2 linked regions of the Arabidopsis thaliana genome follow. The protein of the gene in region 1 purifies or fractionates together with the protein of each later gene. This does not show direct contact. Each region holds a gene or a part of one and is shown on either strand. Other genes may lie near its edges. The genes, in order: GAPA-2 and PRK.

The links.
Region 2: the proteins of GAPA-2 (region 1) and PRK fractionate together in Arabidopsis thaliana (co-fractionation; one large-scale study listed by BioGRID). This does not show direct contact.

Annotation. Positions count from the first base shown.
Region 1 is NC_003070.9:4,384,702-4,400,455, reverse strand, and holds GAPA-2 (glyceraldehyde 3-phosphate dehydrogenase A subunit 2), read left to right. Parts: upstream 1-6,001; 5' UTR 6,002-6,046; coding exon 6,047-6,214; intron 6,215-6,307; coding exon 6,308-6,412; intron 6,413-6,559; exon of another isoform or gene 6,560-6,605; coding exon 6,606-6,910; coding exon of another isoform or gene 6,911-6,914; intron 6,915-6,987; coding exon 6,988-7,232; intron 7,233-7,319; coding exon 7,320-7,822; 3' UTR 7,823-8,018; downstream 8,019-15,754. Other genes in the region: AT1G12930 (ARM repeat superfamily protein), read left to right, coding at 93-280, 450-542, 721-908, 998-1,109, 1,194-1,351, 1,424-1,540, 1,632-1,868; ERF1-2 (eukaryotic release factor 1-2), read left to right, coding at 2,597-3,901; ATAN11 (Transducin/WD40 repeat-like superfamily protein), read left to right, coding at 4,302-5,342; AT1G12890 (Integrase-type DNA-binding superfamily protein), read right to left, coding at 8,063-8,722; NUDT12 (nudix hydrolase homolog 12), read right to left, coding at 9,410-9,592, 9,675-9,824, 9,916-9,999, 10,082-10,205, 10,350-10,420; AT1G12870 (F-box and associated interaction domains-containing protein), read left to right, coding at 11,346-12,488, 13,220-13,327; SCRM2 (basic helix-loop-helix (bHLH) DNA-binding superfamily protein), read right to left, coding at 14,064-14,147, 14,267-14,437, 14,520-14,732, 14,814-15,698.
Region 2 is NC_003070.9:11,523,993-11,540,125, forward strand, and holds PRK (phosphoribulokinase), read left to right. Parts: upstream 1-8,206; 5' UTR 8,207-8,675; coding exon 8,676-9,199; intron 9,200-9,467; coding exon 9,468-9,552; intron 9,553-9,652; coding exon 9,653-9,737; intron 9,738-9,817; coding exon 9,818-10,062; intron 10,063-10,165; coding exon 10,166-10,414; 3' UTR 10,415-10,647; downstream 10,648-16,133. Other genes in the region: SCAMP5 (SCAMP family protein), read left to right, coding at 4,624-4,686, 5,150-5,242, 5,321-5,383, 5,476-5,509, 5,626-5,748, 5,847-5,909, 6,019-6,112, 6,199-6,244 and 4 more; NSI (nuclear shuttle interacting), read right to left, coding at 10,859-10,935, 11,033-11,126, 11,233-11,348, 11,466-11,577, 11,666-11,864, 11,941-12,001, 12,109-12,185, 12,257-12,297; LrgB (uncharacterized protein), read right to left, coding at 13,580-13,730, 13,829-13,958, 14,028-14,205, 14,286-14,395, 14,496-14,611, 14,700-14,961, 15,101-15,416, 15,489-15,764.

The sequences.
Region 1 (15,754 bases):
TGCACTCTCTGGTAGTTTTCTTTTGAGGTGTACTCAAATTTGGGAAGAATATCATATTGATGACTTTGCTCTTCACTCGTTTCATGAATCAGGATAGGAACTGTATTCAGTCACCTTGCAACGTCTCTGCCATCTGTTCCTGTGGCAGATGGTCCAATCCTTTCTTTGTTGACTGTTTTCTGGCCCATTTTGGAGAAGCTATTTAGGTCTGAACACATGGAGAGTGGTAGTTTAGCTGCAGCAGCATGCCGTGCTCTTTCAGTGGCAGTTCAGTCGTCAGGTTTCAAACTTCTCATCTCCCTATTTTATTCCGCTACATTCGACTCGTTGTGCCTTTATTAGCCTGGAACATTTCTTTATTCCAAAGCGTCCTTTACACCTGTGAAAATTTCTTGTTTTCGCACAGTAGGCAGGTTTCACTAACATGTGAAAATTTGCATTATTCACAGGTGAGCACTTTATGCTGTTACTACCTAGTGTACTGGATTGTCTATCGAGAAACTTTCTGTCATTCCAAAGCCAAGAATGTTACATAAGAACAGGTGAGGGTTTCTTAATTCAGGTACAGGCTCCACTTTTGGAGAAAAATCTTTTGAGATGCTAGCGTTGATTCATTTGTCACAGTTTTTATTGGCGAGCTTGGATAAATTATTTCCCAAACTTAGTTTATTGACCAGCCAGTTGTCTGAACTTCACCTTTTCACGAACTTGTTATCACAGCCTGTGTAATCGCCGAAGAATTTTGTCATAAGGAGGAATATGGGTCCTTATTTATCACTACGTTTGAAAGATTTACTCAAGCATCATCACTGATGGGCATAAATTCTTCATATATATGCGACCAAGAACCCGATTTGGTGGAAGCGTATGTGAATTTCGCATCAGCACTTATCCGTAGTTGTCATAAGGTTTGCAACCACTCTTTGCTTGTTAAAGTATAACTTTCAGTTCATAATTTCTTAAGGAGTCTTGGGGTGAATTTATATTGATCAAACAGGAGTTGTTGGGTACTTCTGGAACACTTCTTGAAATTTCTTTCCACAAAGCGGCTATATGTTGTACAGCTATGCACAGAGGCGCTGCTTTAGCTGCAATGTCATACTTATCAGGTAAGGTTGCAGTGGTTTACAAACGAAAACAGCATTAATTTTTGGTTATAAGCATACTTAACACAATGTTTTCGAACTTTATAGGTTTCTTGGAGGTTTCACTTTCTTCCATGATCGAAACCGTGAATAGCATATCAGATGGATCATTCAGCGTGGTCTCTGTCCAGGTCGTATCTCACTGTGGAGAGGGACTTTTGTCTAATCTGGTCTATGCTCTACTTGGAGTTGCAGCTATGTCAAGGGTAAGATTTTTGAGTAAGATCTCTCAAAAAGTAGTTGATGGATTATGATATTTGATTCTGTTTTTGTTTTAGGTCCATAAGTGTTCAACGATACTGCAACAATTAGCTGCAATCTGCAGTTTATGTGAGAGGACTTCATGGAAAGGAATGTTGTGTTGGAAATCTCTCCAAGGATGGCTAAACTCAGCGGTTTCTCTCTTTCTCTTGTGATCACATCAACACCAAACTCCGCCTCTGTGTTGTTTATTCTAATGGCTTTTTTTTGTTTGTTTGTATTCAGGTTTGGGCACTTCCGAGCGAGTATCTAAAGCAAGGAGAAGCAGAAAGCATAGTGAGGGAATGGTCAGAAGCTCTAGGAGGTGCAGGGATCGATTATCTTGAGAACAAAAGCTGCAATTTTGGAAGCAATAACAGTTCAGGAGGACATATGCAAGGGAAACACGGTCGAACATTGAAGCGATTAGTGAGAGATTTTGCGGATTCTCATCGAAACGATCCAAATCCAAACATCATATGAATAAATCAATCGATAAACTTTTTTTTTTTGTAATGTTTATTTTATTTTGTTGCCTTAATAATGAGGGCAATGATCCATCATCTTCTTCATTTCTGTCGATGCTCTGTTTCTAATGTACAGTAGGAGAGGAAAAGAAACCTCATGAAGAATCTTGAGCCATTTCTTTTAGATTCATCTGATGAGAAGGATAATAATATACATCCCATTGTTAACATTTAACTCTCATTTATTTATTTTGAATCTATGAGGCAAACCAATAAACGGCACGCAGTTTGAAGGCGTCTTGGTAATGTAGACTACAGCCAGTTCCACTTTTCACGTAATTGGGCCTTTTGAGTTAAGATAAAGCCCATTAGCTCGCTTTCCATGTGGTTTGCCACGTGAGTATCACGTGATTGGGTTGGGAGTTAGAATTTGGGGAAAACCCTAGGCCAGTCAATTCTGGGAGGAGAGAGGCCGCCGGAGGAGAGAGAAAAAGAGGTACGAGCTTACGTTTTGCTTGCTCGATTTCAATCTCTCTGCATAATGGATTCAATCTGTTCATCGTAATCGTTTATTCAAAAGTTTCGATCTTTACTTCACTTGAAACCAAAATTCGTAGTGTTGTGTCCGAAATTCACGCTGTTCAAAGTACTCATTTTTGAAACTTGATTTTGTTCTTCTTGTGTAGTTGGGGGATTGCTTTTTGATTTCTCCTTCTCCATCTTCGACCTCGAGAGAAGCTAAAAATGGCAGAAGAAGCGGATACGAACATCGAGATCTGGAAGATTAAGAAACTAATCAAGGGACTTGAATCAGCTAGAGGTAATGGAACGAGTATGATCTCTCTTATTATGCCTCCTCGTGATCAAGTATCTCGTGTCACAAAGATGCTTGGTGATGAATATGGAACTGCTTCAAACATTAAGAGTCGAGTCAATCGTCAATCTGTTTTGTCTGCCATTACTTCTGCTCAACAAAGGTTGAAGCTTTACAACAAGGTTCCTACTAATGGTCTTGTTCTCTATACCGGCACCATTGTTAATGATGACGGTAAAGAGAAGAAGGTGACGTTTGATTTCGAGCCCTTTAGGCCGATTAATGCTTCCTTGTACCTTTGTGACAACAAGTTCCATACTGAGGCATTGAACGAGCTTCTTGAGTCTGATGACAAGTTTGGTTTCATTGTTATGGATGGTAATGGGACACTGTTTGGAACTTTGAGTGGGAATACTAGAGAGGTTCTTCATAAGTTTACTGTTGATCTCCCGAAGAAGCACGGAAGAGGAGGACAGTCTGCACTTCGTTTTGCCCGTCTTAGGATGGAGAAGAGACACAATTATGTTAGGAAAACCGCTGAGCTTGCTACACAGTTTTACATCAATCCAGCTACGAGTCAGCCTAATGTCTCTGGTCTGATCCTTGCTGGTTCAGCTGATTTCAAAACTGAGCTCAGTCAATCAGAGTTGTTTGATCCTCGTCTTCAAGCTAAGATATTGAATGTTGTTGATGTTTCTTACGGAGGTGAAAACGGTTTCAACCAAGCGATTGAGCTGTCTGCTGAGATTCTATCCAATGTGAAGTTCATACAGGAGAAGAAACTGATTGGGAAGTACTTTGAGGAGATAAGTCAAGATACCGGGAAATACGTTTTCGGTGTGGAGGATACTCTAAAGGCTCTAGAAATGGGTGCTATCGAAACCCTTATCGTGTGGGAGAATCTGGACATAAACAGGTATGAGCTAAAGAACAGTACGACAGGAGAAATGGTGGTGAAACACTTTGGGAAAGATCAAGAGTCTGATACAAGCAACTTCCATGATTCAGAGACTAACGCGGAGCTAGAAGTACAGGAGAAGATGCCTCTACTCGAATGGTTTGCAAATGAGTACAAACGTTTCGGCTGCACTCTTGAGTTTGTGACTAACAAATCCCAAGAAGGGTCACAGTTTTGCAGAGGTTTTGGTGGGATTGGTGGTATGTTACGTTACCAGCTTGACATGAGGACATTTGATGAGTTATCAGATACTGAAGTTTACGAAGATTCTGATTAAAGTGGGAAAACTTTTGGTGATGGTTTCAGATCGATACAGTGAGGGAAAATGTGGCATAAAGATGGTCTTTTATCAACAAAGAAGAGAGATTTAAGTTTCTTGTTTTCTATAGAACATTAAAAAGCTTGACTCTTTCTTTCTGTTAGACAATTTGTGTTGTAATTTTTGAGGATTTTAAACATCTTTTTGTTGTTCTTCTGGTTTTATATTTTCCGAGAAAATCATTGGTGAAGAAGAGACGGAGATAACGATGTTAGCCATGTTACTCTGTTTTCCTTAAACGGTGTCGTTTTCGTCAATTATTAAAATAAACTGGATGACTGGAATATCCATTTGCTTTTGAGCGAGTGATAGAAGCGGAGGCGATTTTCTAGGGTTTTTGCTCGGAATCGATTTCACGATGGGAACGAGCAGCGATCCGATTCAAGATGGTTCCGATGAGCAGCAGAAGCGATCAGAGATCTATACATACGAAGCGCCATGGCACATCTACGCAATGAATTGGAGCGTTCGTCGCGATAAGAAGTATCGTCTCGCCATCACTAGCCTCCTCGAGCAATACCCGAACCGTGTCGAGATTGTGCAGCTCGATGAATCCAATGGTGAGATCCGTTCCGATCCTAACCTCTCCTTTGAGCATCCTTATCCACCAACGAAGACCATTTTCATACCTGACAAGGAATGCCAAAGACCTGATCTTCTCGCTACTTCAAGTGATTTCCTTCGTTTATGGAGAATCGCTGATGATCATTCCCGTGTTGAGCTCAAATCTTGTCTCAATAGCAATAAGAACAGTGAGTTTTGTGGTCCTCTTACTTCTTTTGATTGGAATGAAGCTGAGCCACGTCGAATTGGAACATCTAGTACTGATACGACTTGTACTATCTGGGACATTGAGCGTGAAGCTGTTGATACTCAGCTTATTGCTCATGATAAGGAAGTTTTTGATATTGCTTGGGGTGGTGTTGGTGTTTTTGCATCTGTTTCAGCTGATGGCTCCGTTAGGGTGTTTGATCTTCGTGATAAGGAACATTCGACGATTATCTATGAGAGCTCCGAGCCTGATACTCCTTTAGTGCGTCTTGGTTGGAACAAACAGGATCCTAGGTACATGGCTACTATTATCATGGACAGTGCTAAAGTTGTGGTGCTTGACATTCGTTTTCCGGCTCTTCCTGTGGTTGAGCTTCAACGACATCAAGCTAGTGTCAATGCCATTGCTTGGGCTCCTCATAGCTCTTGTCACATTTGTACTGCTGGAGATGATTCTCAAGCTTTGATTTGGGATATTTCATCCATGGGACAGCATGTTGAAGGTGGTCTTGACCCTATTCTAGCTTACACTGCTGGTGCTGAGATTGAGCAGCTTCAGTGGTCCTCTTCTCAGCCTGATTGGGTCGCAATTGCTTTCTCTACTAAGCTGCAAATTCTCAGGGTTTGATCTTTTCAAAGAATTTCTCATCTCTTGTCAGATTAGATTTTACTCATTTTCTATCGTATTAGGGGTCTCGTTACCCTTGTTACTATCCTCAAGATGTAAAGACTGTTCTCAATCGAATTAATGAATCTGTTTGATCTTGTTGCTATACTCAAGATGCAAAGCTTAGCACTGACTCTTATTGATGTATGATTGATAAGAAAGGATAATCCTTTGATCTAGATTTTTGCTTCATTGCTTTTTCTCTCGTAGCACAATCTTTGCAGTATGATCCATGGGAAGTGTGTACCTCAATTGTGGATGATTAGGTTTAGTTTTGTATTTGATTAGAGCTATGGACTGCTAGAGTTAGTTACACCTCTCAGTACCTATTGTATTTCTTGGAATAGCTTTCTATAAAGTCAATGCGCAAAACAAAAAGGTACAGAGACATAATGACACATCTTTCTTTGAGATTACAAAGACAAAATGTGTAATCTTTTAAATGGCTAAGAAGGAGCAAGAAGGGTCACACTTCTTAATGTGTCAGTGATTTTCATCTGCAGCATAGAGATGTCAGAAAAGCTATGTCGTCGAGTCACTAGATCAAATGTGACCACATGATGGAGAAGCCCATCCACTTGTGAAGCCCAAGTGAGAAAATCAAAAATATGTGTGAATCATAGAAAACGTGAAGAGGGAAGAGAGATAAAACCACAACCATACAAATGAATGACAAAGCTATCCAGAATCTCATCTTCTTTGCCTCCAACTCAGCAATTCATATTTTCCTATATTACAACTCTCTGCCTCTTCTGCTTACATCATACAACAAGCTTCTCTCTCTGGTAGCCATGGCTTCGGCTACTTTCTCTGTGGCCAAACCATCTCTTCAGGTTTTGTTTCATCTTCCTAACCACATTATCTGATTGCCCTTCACACAAGTTTTATCATCATCTCATAAATACTCTCATGTTTTACTTTTTCAGGGTTTTTCTGAGTTCTCAGGACTTCGAAACTCCTCTGCTCTTCCCTTTGCCAAGAGATCTTCTTCCGATGAGTTTGTTTCCTTCGTCAGTTTCCAAACTTCTGCAGTGAGTTCCTTTTTCACCCACTCCTCTCTATTGCTCCTGTGTTATATATCTTATGGTGCAATCTTGTAAACTCAAGAGCTGTTTCTTGTGTCTAATGCCACCATTGTAGATCTATCCATGATGAACAAGGCTGCATGGCATGATCAGCCATGATTAACCATATACGTTTTTTTTTTCTGTCTCTGTGTTGTAGATGAGAAGCAATGGTGGATACAGGAAAGGGGTGACCGAGGCCAAGATAAAGGTAGCCATCAATGGGTTCGGTAGGATTGGTAGGAACTTCTTGAGGTGTTGGCATGGTCGTAAGGACTCTCCTCTTGATGTCGTTGTCATTAACGACACTGGTGGTGTTAAACAAGCATCACATCTCCTCAAATACGACTCAACTCTTGGAATCTTTGACGCTGATGTCAAACCTTCAGGAGACTCAGCTCTCTCTGTTGATGGAAAGATCATCAAGATTGTATCTGATCGTAACCCATCTAATCTCCCCTGGGGGTAAGTTAAAACAACACTTCTCATATCATTTGAATTGAATCAACCCAGTTAGATCTAAACCTGGTGATGATGTTTAGGGAACTAGGCATTGACTTAGTTATCGAAGGAACCGGAGTGTTTGTTGACAGAGACGGTGCTGGGAAGCACCTTCAGGCTGGAGCCAAGAAGGTTCTTATCACTGCACCTGGAAAAGGTGACATCCCAACTTATGTCGTTGGTGTCAATGCTGAACTTTACAGCCATGAAGATACGATCATCAGCAATGCGTCTTGTACTACTAACTGTCTCGCTCCATTCGTCAAGGTTCTTGACCAGAAATTTGGTAAGCGTCTCATTGAAAGTCAAATGTTGCTATGTTGCAATCTTGTAAAAATCTGAGTAATATTGTGTTGTGTGTTAAACTTGTTAGGGATCATAAAGGGTACAATGACAACTACTCACTCATACACTGGTGACCAAAGGTTGTTAGATGCGAGCCACCGTGATCTAAGGAGAGCAAGAGCAGCAGCTTTGAACATTGTTCCAACATCTACAGGAGCAGCCAAAGCTGTGGCTCTTGTGCTTCCTAACCTCAAAGGAAAACTTAACGGAATTGCATTGCGTGTGCCAACTCCAAACGTTTCAGTGGTTGACTTAGTCGTGCAAGTCTCCAAGAAAACTTTTGCTGAAGAAGTCAATGCTGCTTTCAGAGATGCAGCTGAGAAAGAGCTTAAAGGTATCCTTGACGTCTGTGATGAGCCTCTTGTCTCTGTTGACTTCAGGTGCTCTGATGTATCCTCCACTATTGATTCTTCCCTCACAATGGTTATGGGAGATGATATGGTTAAAGTGATTGCTTGGTATGACAATGAATGGGGTTACTCACAGAGAGTCGTTGATTTGGCTGACATTGTTGCCAATAACTGGAAGTGAAGACTCAACAACCTCTTGATGTCTGCTCCATTATTTTTTACTGTTACATGATTCGGAATGTATAATTGTAGTTCCTGAGTTTATTATGTATTTGTGCTCTATAATTTATAGTAATAAACTTGATTCAAACATATTACATCCTCTGCTTAATACACAACTCTGGTTTGGGAATGCATTTGACACTAAAGAAAGATACAATACTTTTTATATTACATAAATTGAAGGATCGGTAATACAAGCTCACATAAGAAACTGTGGAGCATCGTCGTTGACATCTTTGAGAAAACTCTGAAGATAATTCCCAATGTAGTCATACTCAAAGCAGAGAGGTTCGTCGCTGAGAACTGAGCCAAACTTCATATGGTCTGCATTGTCATGTTCACCGACTTTGTCCTGATGACCGAATAAACTGTTTGACATATCATTAGGTAAAGAAATCTCTTTGCTTTGGCCAACATGATCACCATCATTATAACAATGTGAGAAAGTGTTAGTGAGATTGGTAGAAGACTCTTGTTTTTGAGAAAAAGAAGAAGAGATAGGATCAGCAACAAAATGGTTGTTTTCAAAAGGCTGATCTTGAAGAAGACAGAGACTAGAAGATCCCCAAGTCATATGAGGCTCCAAAGACTGTTGTGGATGTCTTTCTAAAGAGGTGTTTTCAGTGTAGAAGAAGTTTGTTGTAGCTAGAGAGCCGCTGATGGATCGAGCAGCAACGTCATATGCAAAAGCAGCTTCTTCGGCTGTATCAAACGTTCCAAGCCAATGTCTTTCTTTAGTAAAAGGGTTTCTGATTTCAGCTGCATATCTTCCCCATGGACGTCTCCTCACTCCAAGGTACTTCCCTTCTTGTAACTTCTTCTCTTCTTTGCTTTTTCTCTTGTTACTTGATTTCAACATGTTCACAATATTCAGAGATCAATGTTTCTCTCTCTTTAAGTCTCTTGAGCTTTGAGGTTCCTTATGCTGCTATATAAACTCTATATTGAGTAAGAAGAGCAAAAGAGTGTGTGAACTTGATTGATGCCTTTTTGGATTTGGCATTAAATTTAAGGAAACTGTTGGGAGTTCAAAAATTTAACTCCAAAGACTTATTTCTCCTTCGTAAACTGTGTCAGCAGAAACAAGGAAGTGTTTCATATTTTCTCTATTTTTGTCCTTTTGCTTAATATTTTCCACACTTTAGTCTGTGAGGTGATTCATATTAAGGAATGTATGGAGCAAAGCCAAGTTGTGACAAGGACATTGTCATTATAGACTCAGACAAAAACTGTACAAATGTCAAGAAACCTAACTAAACATGTGACATAAGCTTAGGGATTTGGATTCTTAAGTGTATTCAGTTGATTTTGAAGTCAAGCCTTAAGCATTGATTTGTGTGTGATTAGGTAATTTCTTCTATGTCCTTTGTCTTTTTGCATTTGGTGTCCCAATTGCATATAAAGACAACTCTATCTTTATCACTTCAAACAGACAGATATCAAGATTCAAGACAGATGATTTGAGATTATATCATGTCACATGTGTTGCAGTCACTTTACTTCTCATTTTTTCAATTTGTTTACGTTAGCTAAAGAATATGAAAAACTAGTTAACTACAAAACAGTACCAAGGATCTATTTGACTCTCCTCCTCTAGCTTTGAAGAATCATGCACTGTCTCTTCCTCTGTTCTCAATCTTCTTTCATCTTCCATTACTCTCAAAAACTCTTCAAGTGCTCTCTGCATCCACTCATACCGACAAAGCTCCAACGCTTCTTTAACAGTCAACTGCACATTTTCGAGTAATCTCAGAGTTAAAACATTGTACTTACTTATATGAATAACTACACATTTGAATCTTAAGCTTTACCCATCTTCGTTCACGATTCTTTCGCTCTGGCCAATCCTCGAGTTCTTCGGTAACTTTTAATGCAAACATATATCCTTTACATCCACCTAAACATTCATCCTCCACTGTGCTACTTTTGCTTCTAAATTCCCAAACTCCTAAAGGAAGTTCCTATAAACAAAAACATGACCAAAACACATCTAATTCAAAAAACTTTAAAATAGCTTTCTTAGTGTTTTGTTTAATAAAGGTGTAAACTTACTCTAAGTATTCCTTTAACTCCTGCTTCTTCAATGGCTTCACGAGAAGCAGCTTCAAGAACAGTCTCATCATCTTCCCATCCTCCCTGATAATAATATACACAACAAATTAACATGAGCAATTACAAATGATAGTACAGAGGATGATTTTTCAATTCAAAAAAAGACCTTTGGGAAGACAAGATCATGACGATTAGGAGATGAAACCATAAGAACTTCAAGTTTGTTTACAAAGTCAACACCTGAGTCTTCTTCAGTTTCGTCAGCTTTCATCAGCCTATAAGGAATGCATCTGTTCATAATGTATAGAGAAACAAACAACAAGAAAATCAACAATTTTGTTTTCTGATTTTTGGGGTTTCTTGAAAATTTTCAAGATTTGCAAGAAACAAAAAAACAAAACAAAATGATTTTTTGTTGTGTAAGTTGTTGGTACCCAGAAACGAGACGGAAGTTGTTGTCGTAACGTTGACGATCTCGTCCTGTCCGAGAAGAAAGAACCGACATTTGATGAATCTGCCAACACAAAAAAAATCAAAAGGGATTGAGACAACAGAAACAGAGAATGCTACTTTCTTGAAAAGCCCTGTTCTTGTTTGTATGAAACATGTTGATCATAGCCTAGCTTTTATGACGAATCCATATTCTTGTTTTGAAAATAAACAAATTTTCCAGAATTAACGAATCTCAAAAGTCACAAAAAAATAAAATCGTTTATATGAATTTTTTTGTTTGTTAAATAACTTGCTATTTTTGCGGAGAAGAATGAGGAGTTGTACCAACGAGCATTCACTGCTAACTATCACCTGTCTCTCTATATAATCAGTTTTAATATTTATACATGAAAATAAATAAATTATTTTTGTTAGAGCTCAAAAACAAGAAGAACCTTAAGAACGCAAATTCGAAGCAAGTCACTAAAAGGATCTGATTCTGTATTTGACTTATTACTGTTTTATCTCACGAGTATTCTCCACTATAGAGAAGAACTATTCGATAATTGATTCTATAAAACTTATCTTGAGACGTGTTTTAAACAAGACTGCTGAAAACCGAATTCATATAGGTTCAAACTTTCAATTCGTTTCTAGTGTCTTTTTTTTTTTTTTTTGTTGGGTCTTGGTTTTAGTTTTAGCCAATCAGAATTGTTTGTTAGCAAATCTTGTATTTTTTTCGTTTTTGCTAAAATCACTCAAATTAGAGAATAAATAAATTGTTTCTGAAAAAAATGTATTTCCATTTCCTTAGTCGAAATTGGCTTTTATTTCCTTTTCTATTATTTTAATTTAAACATAAATTTTGTGGGATGATAAACTTCCTTTTTCATAACCGGCTAATCCTTATCAATCCTTAACAGAGTAGAATTTGGAGATAAGTGTGTGTATAAAAAGACAAAACCAATTCACTCGTATCAATAAGAAGAAGAAAAACAATGGTCATGGATGAAGAAAAGCAAGCGATTGTATCATCATCATCATCATCACAAAGAAAGAGAAGATACAAGAAGCTAATGATTGCATCATCATCATTACCAGACGATGTCGTAGAAGAAATCTTCTTGAAACTTCCGGTCAAAGCCCTAATGAGATTTAAGTCTCTCTCAAAACAATGGAGATCGACGCTCGAGTCTTGCTATTTCTCACAGAGGCACTTGAAAATAGCCGAGCGATCACATGTGGATCATCCAAAAGTCATGATCATCACTGAAAAATGGAATCCAGACATAGAGATTAGTTTTAGGACTATCTCTTTGGAATCAGTTAGTTTTTTATCCTCTGCTCTTTTCAATTTCCCTCGCGGATTCCATCATCCCATCTACGCTTCTGAAAGCTGTGACGGAATTTTCTGCATTCATTCCCCAAAAACACAAGACATATATGTAGTTAATCCAGCAACACGTTGGTTCCGACAACTTCCTCCGGCTAGGTTTCAGATCTTTATGCACAAGTTAAACCCCACTCTAGATACTTTGAGAGACATGATACCAGTCAATCATCTAGCATTCGTGAAGGCCACTGATTACAAATTAGTGTGGTTGTATAACTCTGATGCCTCGAGAGTTACTAAGTGCGAGGTTTTTGATTTTAAGGCAAACGCTTGGAGATACTTGACTTGCATACCAAGTTATCGAATATATCATGACCAAAAGCCAGCATCTGCAAACGGGACGCTTTATTGGTTCACGGAAACATATAATGCAGAAATCAAAGTAATAGCTTTGGATATTCACACCGAAATATTTCGGTTGCTGCCTAAGCCTAGCCTTATTGCTAGTTCAGAGCCTAGCCATATTGACATGTGCATTATAGATAATAGTTTGTGCATGTACGAAACAGAAGGGGATAAGAAGATCATCCAAGAGATTTGGAGGTTGAAATCATCGGAAGACGCATGGGAGAAGATTTATACCATAAATCTGCTTTCTTCTTCTTATTGCCATTTCCATGTTCTCGATGGATATAATTTGACCAGATTATGTTATTGGACCCAAAAGGATTTGGTTGAGTCATCCACACCGGTGGCGATATACAAGGACAAGAAGATCATACTCTCACATCGCTATACCTGCAATCTGGTAAATTCCCAAACAGGATCTCTTTGCTCATTTTTCAGACAATTTTTGTGTTTAAGATCTGTTCCTTATTTTCCAAGTTTGATTTCTCATATTTAAATAAAATACTACTAATTATTTTGATGCGTTTTGAAGCATGAAAGAAAGAACTCATTGTATTTTTTACCGATTATGTGTGTTTTTATTTTTGCTTCCATTATACGTTTGTTGTTATTTAGAATGAACGAGGCTACACTTATATATCTTTTAGACATCAAAATCAAGACAAAGTTCAAAAAGCCTACTCATCATATCCAAAGATTCAAAATTTGCCTAGCAATTGCTCTTCTTGAGCTCATTGCAGAAAGTCAATGACATTAAGTTGATTACATATTTGAAATCTCTCTTTTGTTGGATCATATTATCACCTCATGTTTTTGGACATGTTGATTATCCAACAATGAACATGATTAAAATCATTAACCATCAGATATTCTTAAGGTGTTGCAAATGCATCAAGAAAAGCTTTGCTCATGAATTATGATTTCTCACTTCCCTATCTAGTAAACGACGTTGTAGAGGAAATCTTCTTGAGACTTCCTGTGAAATCACTAATTCGACTAAAGTCTCTCTCAAAACAATAGAGATGGATGCAAATTATACAAATAAGTGTGGTTTTATAATTCTAATGCGTCTCATTCTGATGCCACGAGTCCAAACGAAGGACTTACCAAGTGTGAGGTTTTTGATTTTAGGGTAAACGCTTGGAGGTACTTGAATTGCACGCCAAGTTATCGAATATACCATGCCCAAAAGCCAGCATCTGTAAACGGGACGCTTTATTGGTTCACAGAGCTATATAATGCTGAAATCAAAGTAATAGTTTTCGATATCATTACAGAAAAATTCCGGTTGCTGCCAAAGATAGTTCCCGCTATTGCTAGTTTAGATCCTAGCCATATATACACTCTGGATAATGCTTTGTGCATGTCGAAAAGAGAAGGAGATAAGCTGATCCAAAATATTTGGAGGCTGAAGAAATCATCAGAAGACACATGGGAGAAGATTTATACCATAGATTTTCTTTTAATTCTTACCAATTAGCCAAGTTTATCTGGTTCCATTATGTTTTTGTCTTTAACATCTTCAGTCGCCCACGGCACAAACCAAATCTTACTAAACTGAACCAAGCTCAGACATTTATAAAGAATATGAATTTTACATAGAGATTCATCTCTGTTCTGAAAAATTGATATATCAGAGCGTTTGCCTATGAATTGTGCATTTCTTAATATTTTGTTTAGCCTTTTCTCATGACAGACTCATGTGTGTTTTATCAATGAAAATCAACATTGCTCTCTTCTTGCAAACAACATATAAATGAAAAGCAAAGTAGAATTATTGAGAAACAATGGCATTTTGCTCAAAGGTTGCAACTATTGTTCCCCAAACACATGTTCTCATAGCTAAAATAAAACAGTTATCATCTTCCATACATGATTGAAATTGATGAAACTAAGTAAGAAAATTGCTGACTAAAACAGAACAAGGACTTAGATCTAGCTCTGTTCCACACAGATGCTTCCTTCTGCTTCGCAATCAAACCAAACCAGCGTAACCTGCTGTATCTAAAAGCACTGCTTTGATTTGTTCAGGTAACACGTCATGGTCTTCTTGACATTGCTGATTAGAAACACAAAACATGTTGTTACTTGTATACTAATCATTCTCTCAAATAACTATTCTTTGACTGCTAGTTTTACTAATCAGTGATCAGCATAGCATCTTAACAACTATATTACCTCAGCGCGGAAAACATCCAAAGCAAAACCATTGAAACAGCTAATCACCGCTTGTTGAACATCCAATCCTAAGTTATCCAAAGCTCTCATGGTGGAAAGTAAAAGACCTGGTCTACGTCCACAGAACATGTGTATGTTCACTGCCTTTCCTTCTCTTAATCTAACCTCAACCTATATCAAAACAAAGAAGCGTTACTAAGAAAATTAAAGAATACAGCTTTGTCCACTAGAAAGCAATTGAGCTTATTCTTACTCTTGGTTGTTGGCCTTTAGGACTTGGCAAGGAGGAAGATGGACACAACTCTTCCTTAACACGGTAAGACAGCGTTTGTGGAGTCGGTGTTAACGGATGCAAGCTTGAAGAACTCGGTGGAGTAGATTCAAGTTCGGTGTGAAGATCGTTGATTCTTTGTAAAAGCTCTTTGAGGTAATCAATAGCATCTCCAAGTATTGATGCTCTATCCATCTACATTTGCAACCCAAAATTAGTGACACAAGAAGTTATTAAGGAGAACAAAGAGAAAAAAGGAAGAATCTTTTTGGTTACTTTGCTGATCTTGGGAACAACTGATCTAAGCATGTAAAGCCTATCATTAAGCTTCTTCCTTCTTCTTCTCTCAGCCATAAGATTCTTTGCAGGCATTCCTTTCTTCTTACCTTTGTTGTTATTAGTATTATGGTCATCAGATTCGTAATTCAATCCAGAGATATCGATGATTCCGGTACTAGTATCGTCAATCTCTCTCTCGTAGCTCGATTTCCTCATTTCAGAAGAACTCTCAGAATTGCACATTTTGCTACTCGAGCTCTGACGCATTGCAGCTCGTTTCTGAAACAGAGTTGGCTGCGAGCCAGATGAAGCCATTACCTGTAACGGTTTTAAAACCTTTGCTCTGTTTGAGAACAGAGGACTCAATCCACATGATCCTGAGCTGTTTTCCGGAGCTGGAAGAAAATCCGGTACTGAGTGGTTTAAGCCAGTGAAATTCATCGAGTTCGGAGATTGATGATTTCCATGGAATTGTTGTCCTAAGAAACCAGAGTCAAAGCCGAAGTCATCGAAAGTGTTGTTATTGATGGTTGGGACGTTGAGAAGAGAAACTATACAAGCTTTCGTAGCTAAGAAAGACTGTTCCTGTTGTTGTTGTTGTTGTTGTTGTTGCTGTGAAGCAGCGTCGAGTGTGAAAGGATGTAATAACGGAGAAGAAGAAGAAGAAGAATCAATCGATTGCTGAAGAAGAAGAAGCAGATTCTCTGAGGGGTTTAAAGGAAAGCCACCATTGAATCTGAAGTCGTTTTGATTAGTGTGTTGTGGTGGTGGTGGGTTATTGAACCAGTCTTCATCTGGGTTTCTGACCCAAGACGCAGCTTCACCGTTATTAACTTCCGGAGATTCACCGGAGCCGTCAAGCCAAACACCGTCGCTGTTCATGTCAAACTAGTAGAGAGAGAGAGAGAGTGGGAAAAGTTTCGAATTTTGGAGAGAAG
Region 2 (16,133 bases), 7.1 Mb from region 1:
TGATAATGCCCTCTAGGTGTTTGACGAATTGCCTCATTAATAGTTTGCTTGGTTTTTTGACATTGTTTGGCGTTTTGTAGGCTGATTCATATAATGATTGTATTGCTTAATTCTTGAAAGCTGGTTAATACACATAATGTCTTGGTCTTGTTTGTGTTGTACTCCAGTTTATCTCTCCGTCATCTTCGAATTAATGACCGCGAAGGTGATTATAATTTCGTTCTCTTTCTCATTTTGTTGCTTACTTTATTGGGGTTTTTTCATTTTTTTAAGTACTCCTTCCGTACTTTTATAAATGATGTTATAAGCTTTTATTTTTGTTCTTAAATATATGATGTTTTAAATTTTCAATGCAAAACTAATTCTATTTTTATTAGTTCTGATGATTTTTATTCTGTAAATTATTTTTTTATTAGTTGATTAAATAATAAATAATGTTTTAGTTTAAAAATAAACAAAATTAAATAATTTTTTAATTTATGCGCATTCTTCTAAAATATCAACTAAATAAGAACGGAGGAAATATAAATTATTCTTATACATGATAAATAATTCTTATTTGAAACAAACTTTTGGGTGGACAATCGATATTCTTTCACACACATAAAAATGCCGAATTCATTGTCATAACGCCCTCTTTTCCTATATTTTACATCAACATTACTAATATATAATAATTATATATAATCATTTCAAAATCGGCGTCTCGCTTCCCATGCATGCGCATTTAATTAACGCTGCCAAAAAAAGCATGTGAGTATATATAGTAAACTAAACCTTTCATCAAGTTAACTAATTAAATTTTAATATTAAAAATTAAAATATATAATGATTATTTTAAAATTGAATTTAATTATTTATCTAAATAGCAAATTATTTTCCAATATTTTTTCTATGATTTATTTTATCGTTTAATAATAATATATTAACATCAAATTATATTAACAATTGATCTCAACCAAATAATCCAAAACAAACACCACCATATAGAATTTAAACTCATGATTATGAAAATCTCAGATTTAGTTATGCAGTTAAAACTAGACACGAGATTAAGATATTATTATGATGTGTTTATGATAATGACGACAACGACAATACAACGTAAGTAAAAAATATATATATATATATATATACACGTATAATCTTTGACCTATTCAATAAAACGTGAAGAAAAACCACTACTTCTATTTTTCTTGTTCATCGAGTCTGAATCCAATATTATGCACTTTTTTTTCGGTAGCAGGACTCTCTTCTGTCCGTTTTTCCTCTTTTTTGGCAGCATTCATGAAGGTTACTATGACTTACAAAGGTTATAAAAAAAAAAAAAGGTTATAAATACACTTGACGAAGGGCGGGGGTGATTACAAATTGCATGCAAATGACGGTTTATTATCTTTTTGTTGTTAAAGGGAAATAACGGTTTATTATCAGTGTGCAGACTTTTATCAAATGAGATAAAAATCATAGACAATCAATCTAATACTATTGAAGTACATTTATTCAAATGGGTAGAAAGTTTGCAGATATTTACAAGAATGTCCTTGAGTTAAAAAAAAAATTTCATGAAAAATACATGTTTAGAAACACGAGATTATTTTTGAGCCGGTTTTAAAAATATCAGATTATAAGTTCCAATATAAGTCATTCATTACAATTACAAATAGCCGTTTTTTCCAATAAAGATCTAATCCTACAACAAAAATTTTGGGAAGAAAATCTTTAATTATTTCCAATTATTTATTCTTTTATTCAATAGCACTAGATTTTAACCTACGGTATACCGCGGGGTTATATCTTTTTTAAAAAATAAAAATTTAACTTGTTTAGAGTATTTAACATATATAGAATTTAATTTTTCTGTATTTTCTAAATGTACAACTCTTATATCTACATATTATTTAGTGTACAATTACTATATTTAATTTTTACTGTTTAAAAATATAGGATGAATAACATACAGTTCATTAAGTTAAAATCTATATTATAACTAAATAATTTAAATTTTAATTATATTTATTTTATTAATATAGTTTTTTTTTTTTAGTGTATAAGATAATATAATTGTATTTTGATTTTTATATTTAGGATTTCACCTATGGTATACCGTCTCGTATTACTATCGACCCAAACCCATCATATCATCTAATCCCGTTCAGTGAAATTAAACATATCTAATGGATTTCACCCGTGGTATAGCGTCTAGTATTTTATCGATCGAAATCCGTCTTACCATCTAACTCCGTTCAATGAAATTAAACATTATTTTGTTATTTTTGTTTTAAAAATACTTTAATTGAAAAGATATATAATTTAAATCAATTTAAAGTTTTTATTTCAAATGGTTATTTAATTGTTTAAAAGTTCATATATTATAAATATTATAAACCCGTCCTACCATCTAATCCCGTTCGGTGAAATTAAAAATTATTTTTTTGTTTTTTGTTTAAAATAATACTTTAATTAAAAAAATTATAATTTAAATCAATTTAAAAGTTTTTTTCAAATGATTATTTAATTTTTATAGATTTCACATATTATAAATATTCTAAACGTTTATTCCGTTAAATATTTTAAATGTTTAATTAACTATAATATTTGATCTTTTAATCAAGTATATTAATAATGTCCTAAGATTTTTCTTTTTTAAGTAATTAGAATTGATTGAGATATATTAGATAAGGAAATGCTATTAATTAGGAATATTAATTAATTGAAAATAATTAATGTCAATGGCATTCCTTGTAAATAAATTTCAATTTGAGGATTTATTTCATAAAATGGCTGCAAAAATATATATGTAGATTCATAATTACGTAGATTTTTCAAATTAGAAAACTAATTATATTCCTATGTCATAGAGATTTATAGTATTTATTATATTCTACAAGATTACTAATCCAATCAGATATTTTTTAAAACATTTCTTAATCAAATCTAACAAACCTACTTTATATATATATATATATAACATTATAAATATTGAATTAATATGTTTGAATTCGAAATTAGTTTCAATATTCAAAATTTATTTAAATAACTGTAAAAAACATTTAATTAAACCATCTTTTATTTTTGATAATTAAAATATAAAACATATTTTTAAACATTTAAAAATAAAATTAATTACATTTTTGGTTTGATATTAATTTCTGTTAATTAAATTAATTGAATTTTAATTTTGATAGCAACTATTTATTAAATATCAATTTTGATAGCATATATTAATTTCGGTCAAAAACATAATTTTCTCGCCATAAACGTAAATCCGTACTTTTTCCGCCAAAAAACGTAAACTCGTAATTTTCTCGTCAAAAACGTAAATCCCTAAATTTTTGCCAAAAACGTAAACCCCTAATTTGTTCGCTAAAAAAATATTCCATCCAAAATGTAAATCCATAATTTTCTCTTCGAAAATTATGAATTAAATTTTCAATTTTAATAATAATAATAATGAAAATTATTGATTATTGTTTGATAGTAATTATTAATTAAATTATTACTTAAATGAGTTATTCATTTAACCATTCAATCTATCGAATAAATAAAATGAGTTTATAAATTGACTAACTCAACCATTCAATTTATTAAATAGAATGAGTTCATAAATTGACTTAGATGAGGTCCGCCACTTTTTTAAAAACTGGGCTCGAAGCTTCCTCGTTGTTTCCTCTTTTGCCCCTATAAATACAAAAACTTCGAGATCCGAAGAAAAAAAACCCACCAACAATATAGATGTCTTCCTCCGGTAGTCCGGTACACAGTACCCTAATTTCTAACTCCGGCGATGAAAACACTGATCATTCCTCCGCAGTACACAAGCTTATCGCTGTTATCAACGGCGGAGCCATCGGTTTGCTGCAGATCACAGAGAATTCCTCAGCTTCAACCAATACTGCAGATCGTCAAGCCACTATCCTCTCTTTCTGTGTCTTTATTCTGATCTACGTCGTCCTCCGAGTCACTGAAGTAAAGCTCAATAGAAACCAAGCTCCGATCCATCACTTCGTTGGACACATCAGCCATCTTTTTGGGGCTCTTGCAGCTCTCATGCTCATCTCCATTGTTTCTCCCATCTTCACTCTCATCGTTGCCCCTCTATGGCTTGTTTGGTTCTTTGCTGTTATGTATGTCTTTTTAGTAGAGGTCATTTGCATGGTGGAGATTAAGCGTCCAGGGGACGCAAATCTTACGGACCAGATCTCTCAAGTATAGTAGTTTAAACGTAGCTTGAGATTCCGAGCATCAGGTTAATGTATTAGTAGTAATTTATACTTTATAGCATAAAATCATGTGTTTTTTCTTTCTAAGTTTTCGAACCCTAATCGTGTATATAATAAAAGAATGAGTCGGGCCTACTTTAAAGCCCGAAACAAATAACCAAAACGGCCCATATACTTCTTAGGGTTAGTTTCGTCAAAATACCAATAGTTCCAAATTCCGCGTTTCGTGTGGGAGAGAAAAAGAAGAAAAAGAGAGTCCAACCATATCAGTTTGCTTTCACAGTGGAGTCGGTGCTCTCTTTTTTTTTCTTCTCTCTTTCTTTTCACCTCTCGCCGGATCCCGGCGATCTTATAGGAGGCAAATCTATCAGTATCGTTATTCTAGGATCTCTAACAAACAATGAATCGCCACCACGATCCCAATCCTTTCGATGAGGACGAAGAAATCGTCAATCCTTTTTCGGTAACGTTTTCTCTTTCTCCCTGAATCTTCGATTTCTTTTCGTTTTTTTCTCTAGTTGGATTTTGTGTGTTCGCGACGGTAGTGGAATCTAGATCTCTCACTTGTTGAGTTTTTATTTAGTTTTGTGCAAATGGAAAATAGCAGAAACTGAGGACTGAGAACTGTGTAATGTCATTTTGATTACGGAAGGTTCATTTCTATTTGAAAATGATATTAACAGTGTTGAGATTATGGATCTCTCGATGTTTATTCGGAATACTGAACTTATATCTGTGGATCTGGAAACTAGGTTAAAAAATTTCTAGAAATGAATAGTGTTTGTGAGTAATTTCTTCCAATTTGGAGTGTGACTCATTCGTTTAGTTTTGGAGAATCAAACTCATTGTTGATTGATTCTTTGTGTTATTGGTGCTTGACGTTTGATAGTTTTTTGAATTTTAGTAACTTTTGATAAATTTTGCAGAAAGGTGGTGGAAGGGTTCCTGCTGCATCTAGGCCAGTTGAATATGGTCAAAGCCTTGATGCTACTGTTGATATTCCATTGGATAATATGAATGTAATGACATCAATATCTTCTAAACTCTTGAACCTTTCTAACTTGGATTTATCTAACATGTGTGTTTAATTGATGCAGGACTCTTCACAGAAACAGAGAAAGCTTGCTGACTGGGAAGCTGAGCTCAGGAAGAAAGAAATGGTTTGTACTATTTATAGGACTTTGTCAAATATATCGTCAATGTGCTTCTTAATTTTCTACTGATTGATGTTCTTTTGTGTAATTTCACCCAGGATATAAAGCGAAGAGAGGAAGCTATTGCTAAATGTAAGCAGATGACAACTTGATGACAATATTATTCACTAGTTTTGACTTTCTTTGAACTATCTCTTCAAATTTCGTGGTGGATGATAACTAACCATAGTCGTTTAATTGTGTTGCAGTTGGTGTGCAGATAGATGATAAAAACTGGCCACCGTTTTTCCCAATCATACACCATGACATTGCTAAAGAGATACCAGTTCATGCACAAAAGCTGCAGTATCTGGCTTTCGCTAGTTGGTTAGGTAAGGCTAATCTTGTTTTTCTGTCTTTTTTTATCACGTGTATCTAATGTGTTGAATTGTTGGGCTTGTATTTGACTGTTCGACTATTAAAATTTCAGGTATCGTTCTGTGTCTGGTATTCAATGTCATTGCAACGATGGTCTGCTGGATTAAAGGCGGAGGTGAGCCTACACTATATTACAATGTTTTATATTATGAAGGTAACTTTTTTTATGAGAATTTTGATTGGATTTGGTTCAACTAATGGTGGTTTTAAAATATCAATGATAGGTGTTAAAATCTTTTTCCTGGCCACAATATATGCATTGATCGGATGTCCACTCTCTTATGTACTATGGTACAGGCCACTCTACCGAGCCATGAGGTAATATTCCTGCTCACTGGTTCTCTTCCATTTGTATAAGTACAATTACAGGCGATATAATTGAAATACATTTTACGGCCTTGCAGGACTGACAGTGCTTTGAAGTTTGGTTGGTTTTTCTTCACCTACTTGGTGAGTTCATAAAACCTATTTATATCTTACCTTTAAGTAGATATACTTCCATTTTCCACATGATTGACCTGAGCTCCTTACAGATTCACATTGGCTTCTGCATCGTTGCTGCCATCGCCCCTCCAATCTTTTTCCATGGAAAATCATTAACGTAAGTCTTCCAATAATAGCCTACGTTTCTACTTGCGTTTGAGTGTACTCTTACTTCATATGTAGTTGGTTAGTCTGGTGAGGGCTTCAATTGGAAAGTTCTAAATTGTTCTGAAAGGTTTATTAATATTCAGTTGTTACAAAATAATGAGGATTATGACTACAAGTAGAAGTGAGAATCTAGCTGTGATTCACCTCTGTATGTTTTGTTGCCTTGAGATTAACTTAAAAACCCTTTCTCTTATTTCGATCAACAGGGGTGTGCTTGCAGCAATTGATGTCATCTCAGACAGTTTATTAGCTGGGGTATGAGCTATACACCTATTTTACATTTCATGACGACGCCTATAATATATTCAATGTGTCTAACCCTAATGAATGATGGCAGATCTTCTACTTTATCGGATTCGGTCTCTTCTGCTTGGAGTCACTGCTGAGTCTATGGGTTCTTCAGGTAAGCCTCTGATCATACTTTTCATGGCTTCTTCAAAACTGTTGACGTTGATGAAACCAGTAAACATTTGATTGATCTGGTTTCCCATTTTGGCTTTGCAGAAAATTTACCTCTACTTTAGGGGAAACAAGTGAAAAGGAGATAAAGAGGAAGATGATGGTAATTTTCCCTTACGATATAAGGTCTGAAATATGTGTATCTCCTATGAATGTAATTACCATTTTACCGTTTGATGCGTTGTGTTGATTGAGGTAAATTCTTTAGTTACTATAGTAGCAAGAGAGAGTGGTTGTTCGGCCATTTCTTTATGTTTTTTACTCTGTTCTTCTCTGGTCTGTAATATACCAATATCGTCTCTTAGCTTTTGGGATTTTTTTTCGGCGAAGTGGATGGACTATTTAGACAAAAAAAAATCATAGCTATGAATTATTAGTAGCGACTCTCTTCGGTCTGAATCTTAGAATCTGGTCCTTCTGATTATCATTGCGTATAACAAAGTATAGATGTTTCGATATGGCCGTGAACTTTATGAATTTTTTTTTTTGCAAACACCATGACTCGAGAGAGATAAAACTTCGTTAAATTCTTCTGTTGAGCAAAATAAGAACTTTTTTTCATTTGCAAACTCCATGAGTCAAAACTCAAAAGAGATTAAAGTAATTTTTTTGGAAAGATTTAATGTGAGTCCATAGTTTTTACTTTTTAACCTAACAAATTCTCTGACCCGTTATAGTTTCATGCTTGACATGGAAGTTGTATGGTGGTTGGTGGAGACTACGTTCAATGTGTCCAAGAATAAGCAACTAGTGCCGACTCTATCGCGGTCGATAAATAAACCATGGTTTTGTTTTTTTAATCCCGATGTAATCTCTTTTACTAATTACCCTACGGTGAAATTCATGAGTAATAAACTTCTGGTATCTGTTCACAAAAAAAAAAAAAAAAAAAAAACTCTTGGTGTCTTTATTAATTGGTAGGCTTGAAGCCCATTGTTAAGGTAACGCAAGAAGGCTTTGATCCCTATAGAAAAAAATAAAAGCATAAAAAGGTAAGTTGTTCAAAGACCATAAAGATTCGAAGCCAAGGGGGGATATACGGTGACGTGTAAATGTGACCCACATAATACTCTCTCCTTCATCTTCAGACCTTAAACACCTAATCCCCATCTGTCCAATTAGAATCTCCCACGTGTCAATTCAAATATCCAAATCCCAAAAAAATAAGCAAATAACCACCAAGCAACGTCTCCCTCCATGCCCTGTTAGTTTTATCACTTCATCGGCAACTCCACTCCTCTCCCAAACTCTATTCTCCAAATTATCTTTTAGCCAAAAAAATCAAACAAAATTACCATAAGTTTATTACTTCATGAAGTAAATAAGATATGATCTTTGGTTTTTTAATGGCTATAAATGTTTTCTTATCCTCTTATCTTATCAACAACATCTTAACATAGAGACTAATCAACATTACAAACAATTTTACTTCAAGAAACCAAAACATGAGCCAATCATCACACAACCACATTAAACCAAAACAAAACAAAATAAAACTCCTTTTCTTCTCTGCAAATTGCCATCTGTTTTTCCTATAGACCCATTGTCCTCCTCTCATTTCTCTCTTTCCCCATTTAATCTTATTTTCAAAAAAAAAAAAAATCACATCTCTATATCACCACACAAAAAACCATAAAATCAAAAATCGTTACCCACATTTCTTTCATTCTATCCTAAATCCTCATCACTCAACCTGAGCTCACAAAGCTAAACAAAAAAAAAAGAGCTTAGGCGGAGAAGAAGAGGAGACCAAAACACCAAACAAACAACAATGGCTGTCTCAACTATCTACTCAACACAAGCTCTCAATTCAACTCATTTCTTAACCTCTTCTTCCTCCTCCAAACAAGTCTTCCTCTACCGTCGTCAACCACAAACCAACCGTAGATTCAACACACTCATCACTTGCGCACAAGAAACCATCGTGATCGGACTAGCTGCTGACTCTGGCTGCGGCAAAAGTACCTTTATGCGGAGGCTCACCAGCGTCTTTGGTGGCGCTGCTAAGCCACCAAAAGGCGGGAACCCTGATTCCAACACACTCATCAGCGACACGACCACTGTGATCTGTCTTGATGATTACCATTCTTTGGATAGGTACGGTAGGAAAGAGCAGAAAGTCACCGCTTTGGACCCACGCGCCAATGACTTTGATCTCATGTATGAGCAAGTCAAAGCTCTTAAGAATGGTATAGCCGTCGAGAAACCGATTTATAACCATGTCACTGGACTTCTTGACCCTCCGGAGCTTATTCAGCCTCCTAAGATTCTTGTCATCGAAGGTCTTCACCCAATGTAAGCTACACATACTCTGTTATGATACTCTGTTTTGTATCTTAGACATACTCAAATTTTAGAGTTTGGAAGTCTCTTATCTTGTCGGAATTTCGATGATTAAGAATCTGGACTTAGATTTATACTAGAATCAGTATCAGAATAATTAAAGATGGATCTTTGAATCTATGCATGTAGTGTGTGACACCGATTAATTTTTATTCGAATAATTAAGTCTATAGTTTTGGTACTTGTAATGTTTTATAATAATATTTATCTACTTGTGAAGGTTTGATGAGCGAGTAAGAGACTTACTAGACTTCAGTATCTACTTGGACATTAGCAACGAAGTCAAATTCGCTTGGAAAATTCAGGTGAATTTCTTTGAATAATTCAACTACATTTACACCATTTTGTGGAACGTTTTCGGTTTATCTTATAAAACTGAATCTGTAACGTTTTTGATGGTCACAGAGGGACATGGCTGAAAGAGGTCACAGTTTGGAGAGCATCAAAGCGAGTATCGAAGCCCGAAAGCCCGACTTCGATGCATTCATCGGTAACACTCCTAATTTCTTGATGTAACCCCGTGTCATATTCGGCTTGATCAGTTTATAATATTTTCAATGGCTTATACAGACCCGCAAAAGCAGTACGCGGATGCGGTCATAGAAGTGCTTCCTACGACTCTGATCCCAGATGACAACGAAGGGAAAGTGTTGAGAGTGAGATTGATAATGAAGGAAGGTGTTAAGTACTTCAGCCCGGTTTACCTGTTCGATGAAGGTTCAACCATCTCGTGGATTCCTTGCGGCCGCAAACTCACTTGCTCGTACCCTGGCATCAAGTTCAACTACGAACCTGACTCCTACTTCGACCATGAGGTACATTCATATTGCATAATGACATATTGTGAGAAATGAATGAAAATGCATGTGTATGAGAATTTAGACTCATTGCATATATCTCCCTTTTTGTTTCTCTCAGGTATCAGTTTTGGAGATGGATGGACAATTTGATAGACTGGACGAGCTGATTTACGTGGAAAGTCACTTGAGCAACCTCTCGACCAAATTCTACGGAGAAGTCACTCAACAAATGCTCAAACATGCTGATTTCCCGGGTAGCAACAACGGTACTGGTCTTTTCCAAACCATTGTTGGATTGAAGATCAGAGATCTCTATGAGCAGCTCATTGCCAACAAAGCCACTGCTCGTGCAGAAGCTAAAGCCTAAAACAAACGAAGCGAAGCCAAATAGAACGCGTCGATAAATACATCCGCAGTTTCTTCTTTTTCTTATTTCTTTCTTTCTTTATGCGTTGTTTACCGCGGATTTTCATGGCGAAAAGGACGGTCTTGCTTGTTTGTAATTTGTGTGGAGATAAAAAGAAAAAGCCTGTAATGTAGAGAAGTGAATAGCAGAGCAATAACAGTTCAGTTTATAGAACGCCTTCAAAATTTGTTCTTTACAGCATCAAAGTAGATTCAAACCACAAATCAACTAAGCAAAAGAAAGAACAGTTTTATCCTATTGATCATACTCATGTTGAATACTTGAATGTCAAATAGCTTTTGGATTACAAATTACACAGTTCAAACTTCCTTATAGATTCCATATAAGAAAGCAAAGAAATTATACATACAAGTAACAATCCCATTTTCTTGCAATCACCAAGTACTACTTTGGGTACCAAAACATGCCTTTGATGCCTTCTGGATCAGCCTCAAACCCCAAGTTCTGATAGAAATCCACAACTACAAAAAAGGAACACAGATTCAACAACTAAGTAAGAACAAATCCAAATATTTTGACCACAAAAATTGCAGATTAAACAGTGATTCGATGTTTTACCTTGACTATCTGCAAACAGAGATATGTTACCAATATCTCTTTGAAGAAGAGCCCTTACAAGTTTTTCAACAAGAGCTTTACCTAGCCCTTGACCCTGAAACGTGAAAACAAACACAAACACCAATTAACATCAAACACAAAGCATTTATATTGGCAAGCAAAAACTAAATGCAAAAACCATATCATTTGTTTTGATTAACCTGATATTCAGGATCAACAAGAACATCCCAAATTGTAGCATTAAAGGCATGATCCGACGTCGCACGTGCCATACCAATAAGCTTCTTCTCCTGCTGCTTCTCCCCATCCCCGCCTTCTGTGTCAAATAACTTCTCCAAAATCCGCTAAGATGTTCATCAAAACATCCTCTTTGTATATATATACACATTGCTTATAGTGAGTCAAGAAAAGTGTTATACTTAGTTATAAGCACCTGATGAATCTGAATCTGATGATGACTTCATTACAGAATGCAAAGTAGCAACCATATAACTATTCTTCAAAGCAGCAGCTAGTTTCACTAACGGTCTCCTTGGCCATCCCACCTATATTTTCCCATAAGATAACCATAAATGAGAGTTTTTGAAGTATCATCAAGCATAAACAGAGCACAGGAGTAGTGTTTTAAACTACCTTATCACAAAGACCTTGAAGATCATAAACATCAATCTCACCACCAGAAGAAAATATGATCTCTTCAACTAAACCATCTTCAAGATTTCTCTCAACTAAAGTAAATTCCACAGGTAACAATGGCTCAGTCTCTTCTTCTTCATCATTGACTATAGAAGGTGGTTCCACAAGTTGCGTACTATTATTATTCTTCACAAACCTGCAACAATGGTGTGTTATAGTATCAGCCCCTAATTTCTCATATGAGTAAGTAAAGTATGAAGCTTTTTCAGTACCCAGATCGGATTGACTCCCAGAAATTGGCTCTGAGTCGCAAAGTCTTCAACTTTCTACTTCCTGAAGAACAGAATTGTAATCTCAACTCTTGATACGAAGACCCAAATCTTCGAATTTGAATTGTGAAATTGAAAAAAAAAGTCAACAGATTGATGAAGGATAAGTACCATGTTGAATTGGGAATGTGAGATTGGAGAAAAACAGAGAGTGATGATTCGATGGATATGAATTAGGAGGAGGGCTACTACAACAAAGACGATGTTAGTAATATGGTTAAGAGATGAGAATTTGAATGTTAAAAAGGAGGAAACTTACATAGACGAAGACGAAGAAGAAGAAATTGGGATTAGTAGCATTTTTTATTGGTTATGTGGTTGAGACTTGAGAGTAGAAGAAATATCAGACAAGAAGAGAGTTTAGCTTAACACCTTCCATTGGGGCTTTGGCCCTCGTCATCGACTTTTGTTATTTACGCTTTTGCCCTCTCCCTTATTTTTGTTGAATTCATCAATTTGTTTGTAAAGGATTGTTACTGGGGACTTCTTATAATTTTTTTTTATCACATACAAGATGAAATTGAAGACAGATTTTTCTGTTTGACAGAAAAGAAAAATAAAGAATACATAAATTTCTAAATTAAAATATTTATATTCACATTTTAAGAAAAGTGAAATGTAAATTTACCAGCATATCAAAATCTATTATCATTTTATAAGATTTTCGCAACCAGTTTTGTTTCGGTTTTGTTTTTCCTGGATCGGTTAGCAATTTATATATATATATATATATATATATATATAAATGACTATTCAAAATAATCTTAAATTTATCCATTTTCATAAAATCTTAAATTTTTAACATACTTTGGTTCTAATAATCAAATTATTAAAATAATCATTCAAAGCAAATAAAGAGCCGTGGAAGCTTTAGAATATTTGTTTCTAACATTTCTTAATATACTTCATAGATCACTATTGGTTGGGATTGCAAGTATGAAGCTGCTATCAAAACTGATCATTGGTGCTATGAGGTACTTCCAGTGATAGATTTGGGCTTAACATGACATTCCAACCTAAAATCAATTGGCAATAAGTAGAGTGACTCTAACTCTTTATATACTACTTGATACTAACCCCAACTTCCAATGTGAAACTTTCTTCATTAACAACTAGCGTCTCAGTCTCAGCCAATTGCTAGCGCCTTCGCCAAGTCCACGACTAACGGCCTTCGAGGATATGTTGCTGAATCTATTGTTTCTCCTCATTTGGCCTTCAACATTAACTCCATCAAATGAATCTTCAACCTGCTATTACTATATGAGCAATTATTGTCTAGTCAACGTAACAAACTCAACTAGAGGACGAAGTTTTCATCGACAAATCTCATCTTCCTCAAATGGAGACAATATACCTTTGTGACAAATTTTTGGAAAGCTGGGACATCCTACTCCTATATAAAATTTATGTATGTTGTACAAATCTCACAACATTTACATATATAAAATAAAATAAATAAACATTTTCCATCATCTTTTTCATTAATACAAGCTTATTTGACATCCAAAGCAAACTGCTCTCATATTTTAAGTAACTCGCCAGCTTTGAGACCATCAATCGTGTTTCGCCACATCATCAATCCTCAGCCGACGACCGCTAGCAAACTCTGTCGGACGGCAGGAACAGAACACAGTAACGATCCGAAGATTCCGGTAAGAGCATAAGCTATTGCACAAAAGGGAAGAGCCTCTGGCTCCTTAGCCGACAAAGCTGCTGTTCCAAGTCCATGAGCACTGTCCATAAAAAATAGAAAGGTCATGTCTTTTGATCCTAATGGCATTAATGCATAATTTTAATTCAAAATGTGAAAGATCTTTTGTAATGGAGTCACCTTGAAGCAGTTGCAATTCCCCGAGCAATTGGATCACGTAAACGCAGTTTGTCAAGAACAACTTGTACAAAGTTAGCTCCAATCAGACCAGTCACAACGACTACAGCTGCTGTAAGAGACGAATTGGTCCCTGAAAATGTCCAACAAATTCGTTAGGGATGTTCTTTAATGTGTTGAGAAGAAGAAGAAACATATATACCTTCAAAGAGTGATACAATGCTAAGGGCCAATGCAACCGTGATGCAGCGAGGTAGGATTGAAACCGTTAAAGAAGGTTCTAAACCGACTAAACGTCCAACAAGAGCAGTGGAGTAGAGCGAGAATACCGTTGAAACTATCACAGATGTGAAGATCTCAGCTGCGTGCCTCTTCACGAGCTGAAGAAGACAGAGGCAAACCAAAGCGATTGTTACCAGTTTTCTAAAGCAAAACAGAACAAGTTTGTTGTTTGTTTTACCTTTCTTTGTTTGAACATGGAGAAAGCGAAAGAGAGAATGACAGAGCCAAGAAAACCCATTAAGATGTCACCAGCACCAGGATCTGATGCTACTTTGGTAAGGTAGTTTCCTGTCACCATTAAAGAGCAGTTAACAAAATGCTTTTACTTTCTGTTTTAGGTCAAAAAAGGGTTTCTCTATAGTTTCTTTCATAGTGAAGGTAACTTTACCTAAAACAGGATCAAGTCCAGATCCTGAAGCATACCCAAAAGCTAGAGCAGCAAGTACTGCAGATAGCGCGCAGCAGATTATCGGATGGAAAACTTTCTTAATAGAAGATGGCAACCTGGAAGAAAGAAAGATAAGACACTGAGAATAACCGCGAGATAGAGAGGCTTAAAGATGGAGAACAAAGAAGGGTTTTTGAATATTACCCAGAACCTACAATGTAACCTAGCACAGTTGAAGAAAGAAGGAAAGGGAGAGAAGTTCTTGCACTTGTCCCCAATGAATTAGGGTAAAACAGAGCACCAACAAACGACACAACAAAGATTCCACTCCAACTCCATAGCTCAAGTGTTGAAAATGGTGATGGTTTTGCCATAGGCTCGGCTTCCGTCATTTCGGTTTTCACCATTTTTCTCACTGCAATAGCTGTGTACCCTGCTACACAAAGTGACGCCAACCATCCACCGGCTATACAAACAAACATTCAAATCAACATTGACATCAGATCAGCATTAAATAATAAACAAAACAGAGCAATTAGACAAAAAACCCATAAAAGCTACCAGAGAACACAAGATCATTAACCAAGTGAAGATCAAGTTCATACCTACAATGTAGCAGATTTTGACACCTGAAGCAGCCGGAATATCTCTAACAGAAAGAGGAAGAACAACAAGAGAAGGAACATAGAACAAAGGAAGCCATCTTTGGATAAACAGAAACGCAGGCTCGAAGAAATTCATCAAACCATTTGCAGCAGCAGGAACAACCGAATCAAATATCATAAGAACAGAGAAAATACAGAACATCCCAAACAAAGCACTTGGGAACTTAATAGACGCTGCTACAAACGCCTGCTTCAAGAAATAGTCTGCAGCAAGAATGATCCCAAGTGATACCAACAAGTGACTTATCGCAATTACCTGAACGAAAAATTCAAAACTTTAAAAAGCTGTTACAATAAAATGGTAAATAAACAACATCGTGAAGCTTACGTTACGAGAGATCGTTGATGTGTTTCCTGTTCCTGCACCATCCATAGCTTGGACTGAGAGTTTTCTCTCAAAGTTCATCTCTTTAGAAGAACCCATTTGTAGAAATCTTTGGCCATCGGGTTTACGGAATTTTGAGAGATTCAACTTCTGGGCACCATCAGAATTGAGAATTTTCCCATTTTTGGAACCGAAACGGATCTTAGAGCAAGAAAGACGGTTCCTTGCTGGAGAAGAAGCTAAAGGAGAGAAGATAGGAGTGGCTAAAAGAGTAGCCATGGGTATGGAGACGACGACGTGGATGTGATTCTAAGAGACGGCACATCATAGTCTTCTCCATCTTCGTTAATGATGTTTGTGATTGAAATTGGATTACGATATTTGTATGGACAAGAGAGAAAGTTCTATCGACAAGAGGATCCAGTTTTGTCTTTTTCCGGGTTAGGTTTTTCCGTTAAGAAAGGTCTTTTGTCTACTTTAATTTAATATTAATATAGTTTTTGATACATCTTTTTTATTAGAGTATTTTCTAACGTAACTTTTATCATATCCAATAAACCAAATTTTACAATTACAATAGGCTTGAAAGATGACAATAAATTAAATCTTCGAATATATTTTCATACAAGTGAATGACACTAACACCAA